Linked DNA regions of Neurospora crassa OR74A. The protein of the gene in region 2 purifies or fractionates together with the protein of the main gene of each other region. This does not show direct contact. Links are inferred from orthologs where the notes say so. Each region holds a gene or a part of one and is shown on either strand. Other genes may lie near its edges. The genes, in order: NCU07712, NCU02511 and NCU06520.

Region 1 (3,748 bases), on a different chromosome or scaffold from region 2:
GCTTGTCCCAACGCATCTTGGATTTCGTGGGCAGACCGAAGTTCTTGGCACTCTCGTCGTTGGTCAGGTCCATGGTAGCGTCGCGAGCGGCCTCGACGAAGCTGTTGCCGCTGTAGCCGCCCGAGTGAACACCGTAAGCCTTCTCCTCCGCAAGGCTAGTGGTGCGAGGCGTGTAGGACATGAAGATCTCGGGGTCTTGGAAGTTGACCGGGCCACCCTTCTTCTTCGTATGCATGCTGCTGGATACTGTAACCTCCATCTCCGAATCCGAGTCGTCGGCGTATGGGTCTTCCTTGGCTTCCGCCTCTTCTGCCTCTTCCGCCTCTCCCTCCTCTTCCTCATCCTCAAAGTCTTCGAACGCATTGGTCTCCTCGCCGTCAGGTTTACCCTCGGCATCTTCCATGTCCACGTCCTCATCATCCTCGTCGTTGGTAGTCTTGCGCTCCTTGAATCTGGAACGCATGTTTCGTACAACTTCCGCGGCCTTATTGCGGCTAGACTTGCCCTTAGGGCCAAGTTCAAAGATGGTTTCCTGGGGCTTGAAGCGGTTTATCCTGCTGAGAAGATCATCGCGAGCTGCCTGGGCTTCAGCGGCTTCTTCTCCAAACAAAGGATGGAGCTGTGTCCAGCCCCTGGACTGCGTAACTTCGCGGGCTCTCTTTGCGCTCTGGCTCGACGCAGAATTCCTCGTCTTCATGTAGAGCTTCTCGGCCTTTGCGGCAACACCCTTCAGCGCCTTGAGATCGGCACTCTCCTTGAGCGCCTTCTCAACCCACTCAATGTTAACATCCACTCCATCTCTCTTTAGTGTTCCAACTACGACGTCTGCCGCGAAGGAAGGGTTCTTCTGATCGTGGCCGATAATAAGTTTCCTTCCCAGGAAGAGCTGTAGATCAAGTAGATATGGTACGTCTGACTGACGGACCAAACCATAGGCCCAACCACGCTGACCCGCACGAGCTGTACGACCAACACGATGGACAAAGATCTTGGGCTGAGATGGGAAATCGTAGTTGATGACGTTGGCGAGAGCAGGCATATCAATACCACGGGCGGCGACATCGGTAACCACGAGAATATGTGTTCTTCCCCGACGGAAGTTGTCAACTTGGATCAAACGGGCCGTCTGGTCAAGCGAACCGTAAACGTAGGACACGGCAAAGCCTGCGAGTTTCAACAGGTTCGCAATGTACTCGACGTGATGTTTCGTTGCTGTGAAGATGATGGTCGAGTATTCCGTCGGCTTCTCCTTAGGATTGGGCCTGTACTCGCGTTTCCTTTTCCTCGCCTGCAATTCGTCACTCTCTTCCTTTGTGCCCTCGGGCGGACCCAGCGGGACCTTGATGACGTCGTGGAGAAGATGGAGAAGGGCACCCTCCTTCTCACCTCCCTTTACTGCGAAGAAAGCACTCTCGAGGTCGGGTGACACCTTGGTTTCGGCATCCAACCTGACAAGGCTTGGCTCTTGAAGACCGGCTCTGGCGAATTCGACCAAGGACGATGGGAGCGTCGCAGAGAAAAGAAGCGTCTGTCTGGAAGGAGGGAGGGCGTGAAGAATTTCGGTCAACTCAGTAGCGAAACCCATTTCGAAGAGGCGATCAGCTTCATCGAAGACAACGTATTTGATGGAGGCCAAAGAGAGGTTCATTTCAACCTTGAGATGGAGGAAACGACCGGGTGTGGCGATGATAATATCGGGATTCGACGCCATCATACCAAACTGTTCTTCTAGGCTGTCACCACCGACGAGCAATACGGTCTTTAGATCGGTACCTCTGCCGAGTTCCTTGACGACCTTGAGGGTCTGCAACGCAAGTTCACGCGAGGGAGACATGATGAGCGCCCTCGAGCCAACACGTGGACTGTGCCCCTTCAACCTCTCAATCATGGGGATAACGAAAGCTGCAGTCTTTCCGGAACCGGTTCTGGCCATGCCGACCACATCTTTTCTTTCTAAAATCAGGGGGATCGCTTTGCGCTGAATGGGGGTCGGGACGGAGAAGCCTTTTCTGGTAATCGCTCGGAGGAGATGGGCGTTTAGACCTAGGAGAGTATCAGCAGCTGCCCCAAGCATCATCAACTTATGCCATGGGACGGAAGACTACGCACCCATTGCCTGGAAACCTCCACCCTTCTTGACTGATTTGCCCTGAATGTTGGAGGACTTTCTCTGCGAGCTCCGTGTGAGCGAAGCGATAAAGGCTTCGTCATCATCGCCCTCGCCATTAAAGCTAGGTAGTCCATCATCGCCGTTACCGAGAAGATCGTTGAAATCGAGGTCAAGCCCGCTGTTCGTAACAGCTCCCTTCTTGGTGTGGTGCTTGCTGCTGTTGTCTTCGAAGTCGCTGTCGTTGTTGAACAAAGCACCCGCGATGTCAACCTCGTTCTCGGACGGTGTGGGGGACGCTGCGCGTCTAGGCATGGTGAGCGAGGGTTGTGTTGCTGCCAATTGCAGCACGAATCGCTAATTGAAGATGCAAAGACGGACGGGGTGGGTTGGAGTTTAGGTTGGTGATGATGATGGGGTCTTGGGGTCTCTTGTCTACTGTAGCCATCAATGCCTGCCCGTCACCCGTAAATTTTGGATGGTCGACTTTTTAGTGGGGCCAATGTGACATTTATCCATTATCAGCTTATCAAGTACACCCATTGCATGCCCGTGGGTTTGCCTTGGCAGCGCTGGCGTGCGTTAGCTGTGCTTTCCGCGCTCCTGGAGGTGTCGCAAGTCGCAACTACTGAACTTCCCTAAACTTCCCCGGAGTTGCGTTCCGTTTGGTAGACCGAACTTACTTATCCATCAACCCTTTGTAATTGATCAAACAAGCATCCAGATTGACCCTCCATTCCGGCGACAATATGGCGACAGACACTAAGGACGTGAAGGACGTTAAAGACGTCAAAGACGAAACTCCTGCCGACACTCGGGATGCGCTTGAAGTGCTGGAATCTGAAGCCAAGGAGTGGGAGAAGGCAAGCCAGACAACAACCACGCCCAACTATACCAACATTTACATCCCCAACTCAGTAGTTGCTGACAATCTAAATTCCGACAGGATGCCGAGATCGACCGTATCTTGAAAGCCTTCCGGCTCGACGCCTACTCAGTCCTCGGCCTCAAGCCCGGCGTGACCGAATCCGACATCAAGATTGCTTACCGCAAAAAGTCCCTGCTGATCCATCCCGACAAGACCAAAAACCCCTTGGCGCCTGAGGCGTTCGATAGACTGAAGAAGGCGCAAACGGAGCTAATGGAGGAGAAGCACCGCAAGAACCTAGACGAAGCTATCGCGGACGCGCGCATGCTGCTGATCCGCGAGAACAAATGGACGGTCGACAGCCCTGAGCTCAAGACGGCCGAGTTTGAAAAGAAGTGGCAGGAAAAGACCAAGTTTGTGCTGATCGAGAACGAGCAGCGACGACGCAGACAGCTCAAGGCGCAGATGCAGGAGGAAGGCCGCGAGCAGCGGAAAGCTGACGAGGAGGCTGAGCAGCGCAAGCGCAAGAGGCAGCACGAAGAGGACTGGGAAAAGACGAGAGACCAGCGCATCGATAGTTGGCGCGCGTTTCAAAAGGGCAAGTCTGGGGATTCGGATAAGAAAAAGAAAAAGAAGTTGAAGCCTATTGGCTGAGCAAGAAGAACCTGCAATGCTCTTTCATATGAGCATGCGCAGCAATATTCAACTACGGCAATTGCAAGATGTGTTCATCAACGATGCAGTAGCGGAGCTTACAACGAATCGAAGGAAGC
Region 2 (3,748 bases):
GACTTGCTCACTGTTTGTAATCTTGGGTTAGCGTCTTCTGAAAGTACAGTTAAGAACGATATGGAAAACGCACTTTTCCTCAACGGCAACGGAACACGTCGAATAGACAACGTAACCACCAGTCTTGCTGGCATGGTCAACCGAGTCGATGGCAGCCAGGAGAAGCTGCTTTTGGAGATGGGGGAGCTGCAGGAAGTCCTTCTCGTCTCTGTTGGTCTTAACAGAGGGATCCTTGGCAATGACACCAGTGCCCGAGCATGGGGCATCGAGCAAGACTCTGTCAAAGCCACCCATGACCCTGGGGAACTCACGCGCATCGTAGTTGCATACGATAACGTTTCTTGCGCCCAGTCTGTGAATGTTGCCGATCAAACCTTTGGCACGCTGCTTGCTGGGATCGTTCGCAAAGATCACACCGGTGTTCTTCATCAACGCCGCCATATGGGTGGTCTTGCCACCGGGGGCAGAGGCCATATCGAGAACACGCTCACCCTCCTGGGGGCAGAGAGCCATCACGGGCAGGAACGAAGACGCGGCCTGGAGGATGTAGTGACCAGCCAGATACTCAGGCGTGGCACCGAGGGGAACGCTTTATGCCCCAGTTGTTAGCCATTTGCATGAATCGCGTCGTTGTAGTCCTGATTTAGAATATACGTACTTCGAGTCAAAGACTTGCAGACCGACCTTGGACCACTTGCCTACAGGCTCGAGTGTGACACCGCGGTTGATGAGTGCTTGGGCAAGATCGCGGCGATGTGTTCGGAGGGTGTTTGTACGGATAACGACGGGGCGGGCACTCTCGTTGGCTTCGAAAAAGGCGAACGCCTCTCTGGGAGGGAACAGGTTGCTACAAACAGTCAGACAGTTTCCCCACTGGTGGTATCGCCGCAGACAGGCATGCGACAGGTTGTAAAACATACAAAAGCTTTTCAGCGAGGTACTCGTTGTAACCGTAGTCTGGCAAAACCTGAAGTTAACATTTGTGCATTTCACGAGAAGTATTGCGCAAGGAACATCGGGTCCTTACAGGCACAGATATCCTTGATGAGTTGGCTGGTGTACTCGGCGCGACTCTTGCCCTCTTCCGCCGAATTCGAAAAGTCGTCCAGGATACGGATGGCGTCTGTTATCCTCGTTCTCAACATCTGGAGATCGGGTGCCAGCAAAGTTTTGGTCTTAGTCTGAAGTTGGTCGTCGTCATCACCGAGGTCATCACCACCAGCGATGTTGGTCTGGAGCGCCTCGTCGCGCAATTCGGCCTCGTTCTCCTCTGCTTCCTTCTCTCTTTGCATATCCAATTTCCTCGAAAGACCCTCGATGTTGGCGGCTGTGAGCTTCTCCTCTCTATCCTCTTCGTCATCCTCATCGTCAGAGAAGACGAATGCCTCCTTCTTGGTAGCACCGTCCTGGTCGGAATCGTAAACCGAGTCGTCGTCAGTGCCGAGGAAATCGTCTCCTAGCTTTTGAACGTCCATCTCATCGCCGTCGATATCAAGGCCCTCCAGGTCGGACGCGCCAAACTCGTCGTCCATCTCCTCGTCATGATCGGGCGAAGGCTGCTTTGCCTTCTTAGGCTTCTTGGACTCCTTGGACCTGTGGGCGGGCTTTGTGCCAGTCTTCTTCACCTCCTTGACCTCTTTCTTGGCGCCCTTGACTGCGACAGTGTTGGAGCCGGATGTCTTGGGCTGCTTCTTGACAATCTTCTGCTTCTTGGATCTTCTAGTGTCGACTTCGGTCGTGGTTTCGTCAAAGGGAATGCCCTTCTTGCGCTTGAGGTTGGCGAAGTGCTCCTCCGAGAGGGGCTCAGGAGGGCCCTGTTTCTGCATGCGACGTCCGACACCCATTTTGATGGTATTGCTGGTCGTCTGGTGGTGATTGGGATGTTGTTGGGGTTGGTTTGAACACTGATAGCCCACCATCGACAGGCGCTTGTGGATATTTCTCCGGGTCGATTTTCTTTTCTGAAAAAGCTTATCGATAGCAATGCCAAGTCTCTTTCCTCAAATCGGGTTCCACCTCACTGCGGTCCCAAAAGGTGAGCCATTGGTCAGTGCCCCACATTAGTCAAGCTGGGCCAAGTTCGGAATCCCTGTAGCAACAGCTGACGCTACCCCTGGAGCTGGGCTGTTCTGGAGTAGGGAACAGCTGCCCCTGGAGCCCGGCATGAACGGCGCCCCCGGAGGCAGGCGGCCTGGAGGTATAAGGTACCTAGAGGTAGGAAATGGAAGGACCGTCTGACGGACCTCGCAGGAGAGGCGATCAATGCGGGCAAAGGAAAGTAGAAGGATGACGGGATGAGGGCGGGCAACCTGGACCGGGCGGACAGCTTGAAGCGAAGGGGGCAGGCAGGCCTCCCGGGCAGGCGCCTGCCGCCTGGTCTAGGCGCACCCGACGCAGGGGGAAGCACTGAATGGAGCCGGCGCCGGTGGGCGGTGGACGCCCCGGCCGCGAGGTCCCGTGTTAACACATCACTCAAAAGCAGGCAGGTAACCTGAGAGGTACTAGAGGTACCTTCCGTCTGCGCTGAACAGTTGCGGCATGTACAAACACACTGGACAGCTGGAGAGGCATCTCACCTCAGCACCTTCCATCTTTCCTGCTGTATCTTTCATCTCTCACGGTACTAACTTCCCGTAACAAACGACGTCTCCTCTTGCTGCTTTGCATCCTTCAACAACCGCGATTCTTCTCTATTCTTTCTGCTGGAGCATTGAAGTGAGGTGACATCGAGGTACCTGCTCGCCTTTACTTTACGTATCTGTAACTGAGCGGCAAATCGCGACTCACCTCTCACCCACAGTTTGGCGGCGGGTTTTACTGCGTACCTGCCTTCTGGACCTTGCGTTAATCCTTCCACCTCCAACCTCCTACCTACCTCTACCTACCTGATTCATCCGTCCTCTTTCCCCCTCCCCATTTCTCGGGAGCTCGGTCATTTTCCCCCCAAAGTACAACCAACCACCACCACCACCGCCTCCTTTCACGTCGCCGCCATTCCATTCAGTCCACGGAGCTTCACGAGCCTCCATTTCCCCAATCTTTCTACTTCCCAGCGGATTCACCTTCCAGCCGCTTTTGATAAGTTGGCTGCTAATCTTCGTCACTCTGCGCGCAGCTTAGCGCAACACCACCGCCCATCATGGCTCAGGCCCTACCCATCAAATTCCAGGAGCTGCTGCAACTCAGCGCCCTCGGCATCAACCAGACTGCCATCACTTTCAATACCTGTGTACGTTGTCCTCACCTTGCTCTGACTCTGCTAGTGACAGTTGTCGCGCCTCCTCTGGCACCCCTGCTGACGTGAACCCCCCGCTCCCAGACTCTAGAATCGGACAACTGGGTGTGTATTCGCGACAAGAAGGACGAGGCAGCGTCCCCTGAAGTCATCATCGTCGATCTCAAGAACGGCAATAATGTTATCCGACGTCCCATCAAGGCCGACAGTGCCATAATGCACTGGACGCGCCAAGTAATTGCCCTCAAGGCCCAGGCGCGCACACTCCAGATTTTCGACCTCGAAAACAAGGCCAAGCTCAAGTCGACAAACATGAGCGAGGATGTCTTGTTCTGGAAGTGGGTTAGCGAGACCACGCTTGGCTTGATCACAGATGGCTCTGTTTACCATTGGGATGTCTTCGACCCGAACCAGCCCGCTCCGGTCAAGGTCTTCGATCGTAATGCTAATCTCCAGGGCAACCAAATAATTAATTATCGGACCAGCGCCGACGGAAAGTGGATGGTTGTTGTC
Region 3 (3,748 bases), on a different chromosome or scaffold from region 2:
CTTGGCCATGTGACCGAGATGCAGCGCGGTAATGTCAAAGTAGACGCGCTCCTCGCGAACGTGCGTGGCGTACGCACGAATGTGCGAGCGGAAGGCTTGGCGGGCGGAGACGAGGAGAGGGTTGTCAGGTGTTTTGTTCTCATCCTTCTTGGCGTCCTTCTTGCCCTTCTTGCCCTGCTTGGAGGCGGCAAATTTCTCGCTTTTGGATTCAAAGACGGGCGTGGCGCCGGGCAGAGGAGCGAGGAGACGCTGTTCGAAGTGTAGTTGAAGAGCTTCGGCGCGGGAGGCCCAAGATTGACGATCGGTTTCGAGGACTCCGGACTCGGTGCCAGGCACGTTGATGTTTGTGGCGAAGCCCTTTTGGAGGATGGAATCGTACAGCTGGGGTGCGATGGGGGTCGATTTGGGCAGGATGGAAATGTAGCCTTCTTCGGACCCGGGGAGGAGGAAGAGCACGGCTTTACCGGCGCGACCGGCACGGGCGGTACGACCGATACGGTGGACGTGGTCAGGCACGGCGAAGGCCGGGTCGTACTCGATGACAAGTTCGACGGCCGGGACATCGAGACCACGGGAGGAGATATCGGTGGTGATGAGCACGGCGGGGTCCTTGCATTCGCTGAAGGCCTTGAGGGTGGCGCTACGGACGGGCTGGGCGAGCGAACCGTGGAGCTTGTGTAGCATCACCGTAGGGTTGGCTGGGGAGGTAATGTATGTTGCTGGCGCGACGGTCGACTCGATGTGGATGTTCGGCTTGGTGGGAGCTTCGCCTTCAGGCTTGGGCTCGGGCTCAGCACGCGGTGTGGTAGACTTGAGAAGCTCAAAGTGATAGTCAACCGAGTCAGCACACGAGATGAAGATGATAGCCTTCATGACCGAGCCCTTCCTGGCAAAAGTTGACTTGAGCAAGGCAATAAGCGTCACCAGGCGCAACTTGGCGGGTGTGACGATAGCGGCCTGCTTTAGCTGGGCGGGCGCGGAGAATGCCGTCTCAACAGCACCAGTCTCCGCATCCTTCTCCATATCGCTCTTGGACGCTGTGATGTGGACAGCATCCTCCAAACTGATCTCACCCAGCTTCTGGACGTTCATTTTCATTGTAGCCGAGCAAAGAACCGTGACTCTCCTCGAAGGGAGAACGCCGTCCAAAACCACACCCTCGGCGTTCTTCTTCTGTAGTGTACCAGCCCTGATCTTGCCAACAATAGTCTTGATATCGTCCTCGAAACCCATTTCCATCATGCGATCACCTTCATCGAGTACCAACCAGCGGACCGTACCAACGTCGAGAACCTTTGTGTTGTCGAGATGATCTGTCAAGCGACCGGGAGTAGCGATTAGGATGTTGACACCCTTTCTGATGCGCGCCTTCTCTGACTTTTTGCTTTCACCACCTATTACCGTGGTGCAGACTAGCCAAGGAGCACAGCGCAGCACCTTTTCGAGGACAACGGCAATTTGCTTGCAGAGTTCGCGGGTAGGAGCAAGAATGATAGCAAAGAGTCCCGAGTTGCGGTGCACTTTGGTGGTCTTTGGGGTACCGTCCTCGTTGTGACTGAGGGCCAATATCCTGTGGACAATGGGGAGAAGGTATGCTAGCGTCTTTCCGGAACCCGTCTCGGCTTGGAGGAAGGCATCGCTATCCTCCTTGACTAGTTGTGGTATCGTGTTCTTCTGGATGGCGGTCGGGGCCTTCATCTCGAGCTTCGTCGCCAGGTGCTGGGATACACGTCGGGAGAGACCCAACGAGAGGAAGTTCTCTGCTTCGGCACTGAGGGGAGCGTTCGAAGGTTGTGCAGGCTCGGCTTCTTCGGCTTGGGGAAGCTCCTCGAAGTCGGTTACGGGAACGGGATTCGAAGTAAACAGTCGCGACGATACGAGGCCAGTCTTCATGGCATGTGTCGGCGGCGGCGGCGGACCTCTCTCGGCGGCATTGCCTGTTCGTGGGGTCTTGGAGAATCTGCCAGAGTCGCCATCTTCTGTCCGTTGACGTTTCGCGGCTCTGTTCGTGTAGTAGTCGGCGCCGGTATCTCGTCGAGCTGTCGAGGCCTGTTTTGACTGATCCTGTCCACCCTTCTCGCCCTTTTGCGCCTTGACTCTGTCCCTCCACCGGCCACCTGTGTACTTGACCGTCTGCTTGATCGGAGCATCTCCGATCTCAAAGTTGAGGAACATGTCACCGTCGTCCGCCATTTTGAATGATTTCACTGCAAAAAGACCTCGAGGTGTGGTGGTGCTGGCAAAAATCAATTGGAAATGGGGAGTTTCAAGGGACTGGAAGACAATATTCTGGGTATTGGCAAGAAAAAAGTTCAACGTCCATGTCGATCCCCGCAACACAGTGGCTCTCAGTGGACTGGCACTCGGGGCCGTTGCACTGAAAGTGGAATTGGGTCCTTGGCCAGATCAAAGTGGGGCTCTCGCCTGCTGTGTAAGTGAGCCGTGTCGACTCGCACTGTATCTGTATCATAACAATCACCATGCGCCTTCAACATAAAACACAAAACACCACCATTGCATGTGTCTTGGAAATGATCATGTCGATATGGCTACAAGGCTCGTGATAGCTGCTTATCAAATGTTGCTAATAATACATGGGTACTGGTAATTCGACAAAAAGCCACCGTGAACTGCCAACGTTGTCAGGAATTGCTGCTCGAAATATTCGCAAAACATGTACGCATGTGGTAACATATCCTTGCTAAGATATTTCATCGTCCTGTAATAGCACCCAATTTTCCAGAGTCCGAGAATTTCCCACCAGAAGGTTCAGTAAGCGGCTTTGGTAAGAATCCAGAGTCGTCCCATCACAGGCGAATCCCTGGTCTCGACGTTCAGAACGCATTGAGTCAATGACGAAGGTCAAGCCAAGAACATACCCCGTATAGTTAAAAGATACGCGTGTCACACTCGAAATCAGAAGGAGTCTTCTACAAGATCTCTATGTATCTCGTCAGAGACAGAGCTGGTCCCGATCGGAGATTTGGGAAGGAGGCCGCGAGCGTCCGAACTCATCTAGGGTGGTATTTTTGGCCAGCTTTTGCGCGTATTTGGACTTCTTACGGAGAGTTGGTCCGTAGATATACGTTATGTAGATAGCCGCAACAAGAAGAAGGGATATAGCGAATAGAATGGTGTTTGCGATTTCCAAGTGCCTCGTCCCGCCAATGTTGCTGACGAAGGGCGTGGCCGGCACCGTTAGAACACCAGCAAGGAAGTCGCGAGCCCAGCCGTTACCTCCGGTAGCAGAAGCTGAGTAGGGACCGTAAGCGCAGATCATATACTGTTGAGTATTTGGTTAGCATGTCTTTTGTCAGTCAATGAGGTAGAACCTAAGCTTACGTCTATGGTGGCCATATAGATGGAGTAGTTTGCAATGCCAATCATGGTAGACCCGACCATGGTCCCAATCCAATGTATGGGCGGTCCACTGCACGTCCATGCAAAAATGATCAAACCTATGGGCAAGCATGGCGCAGTCCAGAGAAGCCACCATAGCCGAGATTCATACTGCGCATGCTCGCTATGCGGTTTCAGATCGCGCGCCCTCTTGTTGCGCTTAAAGACTGGTAAGAAGGACAGCCAGGCGATCAGGTACCCTAAGCCAATTGGGACGAAAGCAAGGCCAAGTTGGATCTTGGAAAATCCCCATTGATTGTAGACCAGAACAAAGGACTGGATCTGCATAAAGATGAGGGCATCAGAGAATCCTGACAGTAGTGAGAGAGTGAGGACGATCGGCTCCGTA

Evidence for each region.
Region 1: the proteins of NCU02511 (region 2) and NCU07712 purify together in Saccharomyces cerevisiae (affinity purification with mass spectrometry; 7 studies listed by BioGRID). This does not show direct contact. The link is inferred for Neurospora crassa OR74A from reciprocal best matches to the Saccharomyces cerevisiae genes NOP2 and DBP10.
Region 3: the proteins of NCU02511 (region 2) and NCU06520 purify together in Saccharomyces cerevisiae (affinity purification with mass spectrometry; 3 studies listed by BioGRID, with this or other methods). This does not show direct contact. The link is inferred for Neurospora crassa OR74A from reciprocal best matches to the Saccharomyces cerevisiae genes NOP2 and DBP7.

The regions. Positions count from the first base shown.
Region 1 is NC_026504.1:2,109,983-2,113,730, reverse strand, and holds the start of NCU07712 (ATP-dependent RNA helicase dbp-10), read right to left. Parts: upstream 2,537-3,748; 5' UTR 2,423-2,536; coding exon 2,110-2,422; intron 2,044-2,109; coding exon 1-2,043. Other genes in the region: NCU07713 (DnaJ domain-containing protein), read left to right, coding at 2,857-2,970, 3,054-3,629. UniProt on the Saccharomyces cerevisiae protein: ATP-binding RNA helicase involved in the biogenesis of 60S ribosomal subunits and is required for the normal formation of 25S and 5.8S rRNAs.
Region 2 is NC_026501.1:2,564,270-2,568,017, reverse strand, and holds the start of NCU02511 (S-adenosylmethionine-dependent methyltransferase superfamily domain-containing protein), read right to left. Parts: upstream 2,334-3,748; 5' UTR 1,920-2,333; coding exon 1,028-1,919; intron 958-1,027; coding exon 921-957; intron 848-920; coding exon 659-847; intron 590-658; coding exon 74-589; intron 11-73; coding exon 1-10. Other genes in the region: NCU02510 (clathrin heavy chain), read left to right, coding at 3,140-3,229, 3,320-3,748. UniProt on the Saccharomyces cerevisiae protein: S-adenosyl-L-methionine-dependent methyltransferase that specifically methylates the C(5) position of cytosine 2870 (m5C2870) in 25S rRNA. Required for 60S ribosomal subunit synthesis and processing.
Region 3 is NC_026504.1:1,508,873-1,512,620, reverse strand, and holds the start of NCU06520 (ATP-dependent RNA helicase dbp-7), read right to left. Parts: upstream 2,291-3,748; 5' UTR 2,194-2,290; coding exon 1-2,193. Other genes in the region: NCU06519 (multidrug transporter), read right to left, coding at 2,954-3,283, 3,343-3,748. UniProt on the Saccharomyces cerevisiae protein: ATP-binding RNA helicase involved in the biogenesis of 60S ribosomal subunits and is required for the normal formation of 25S and 5.8S rRNAs.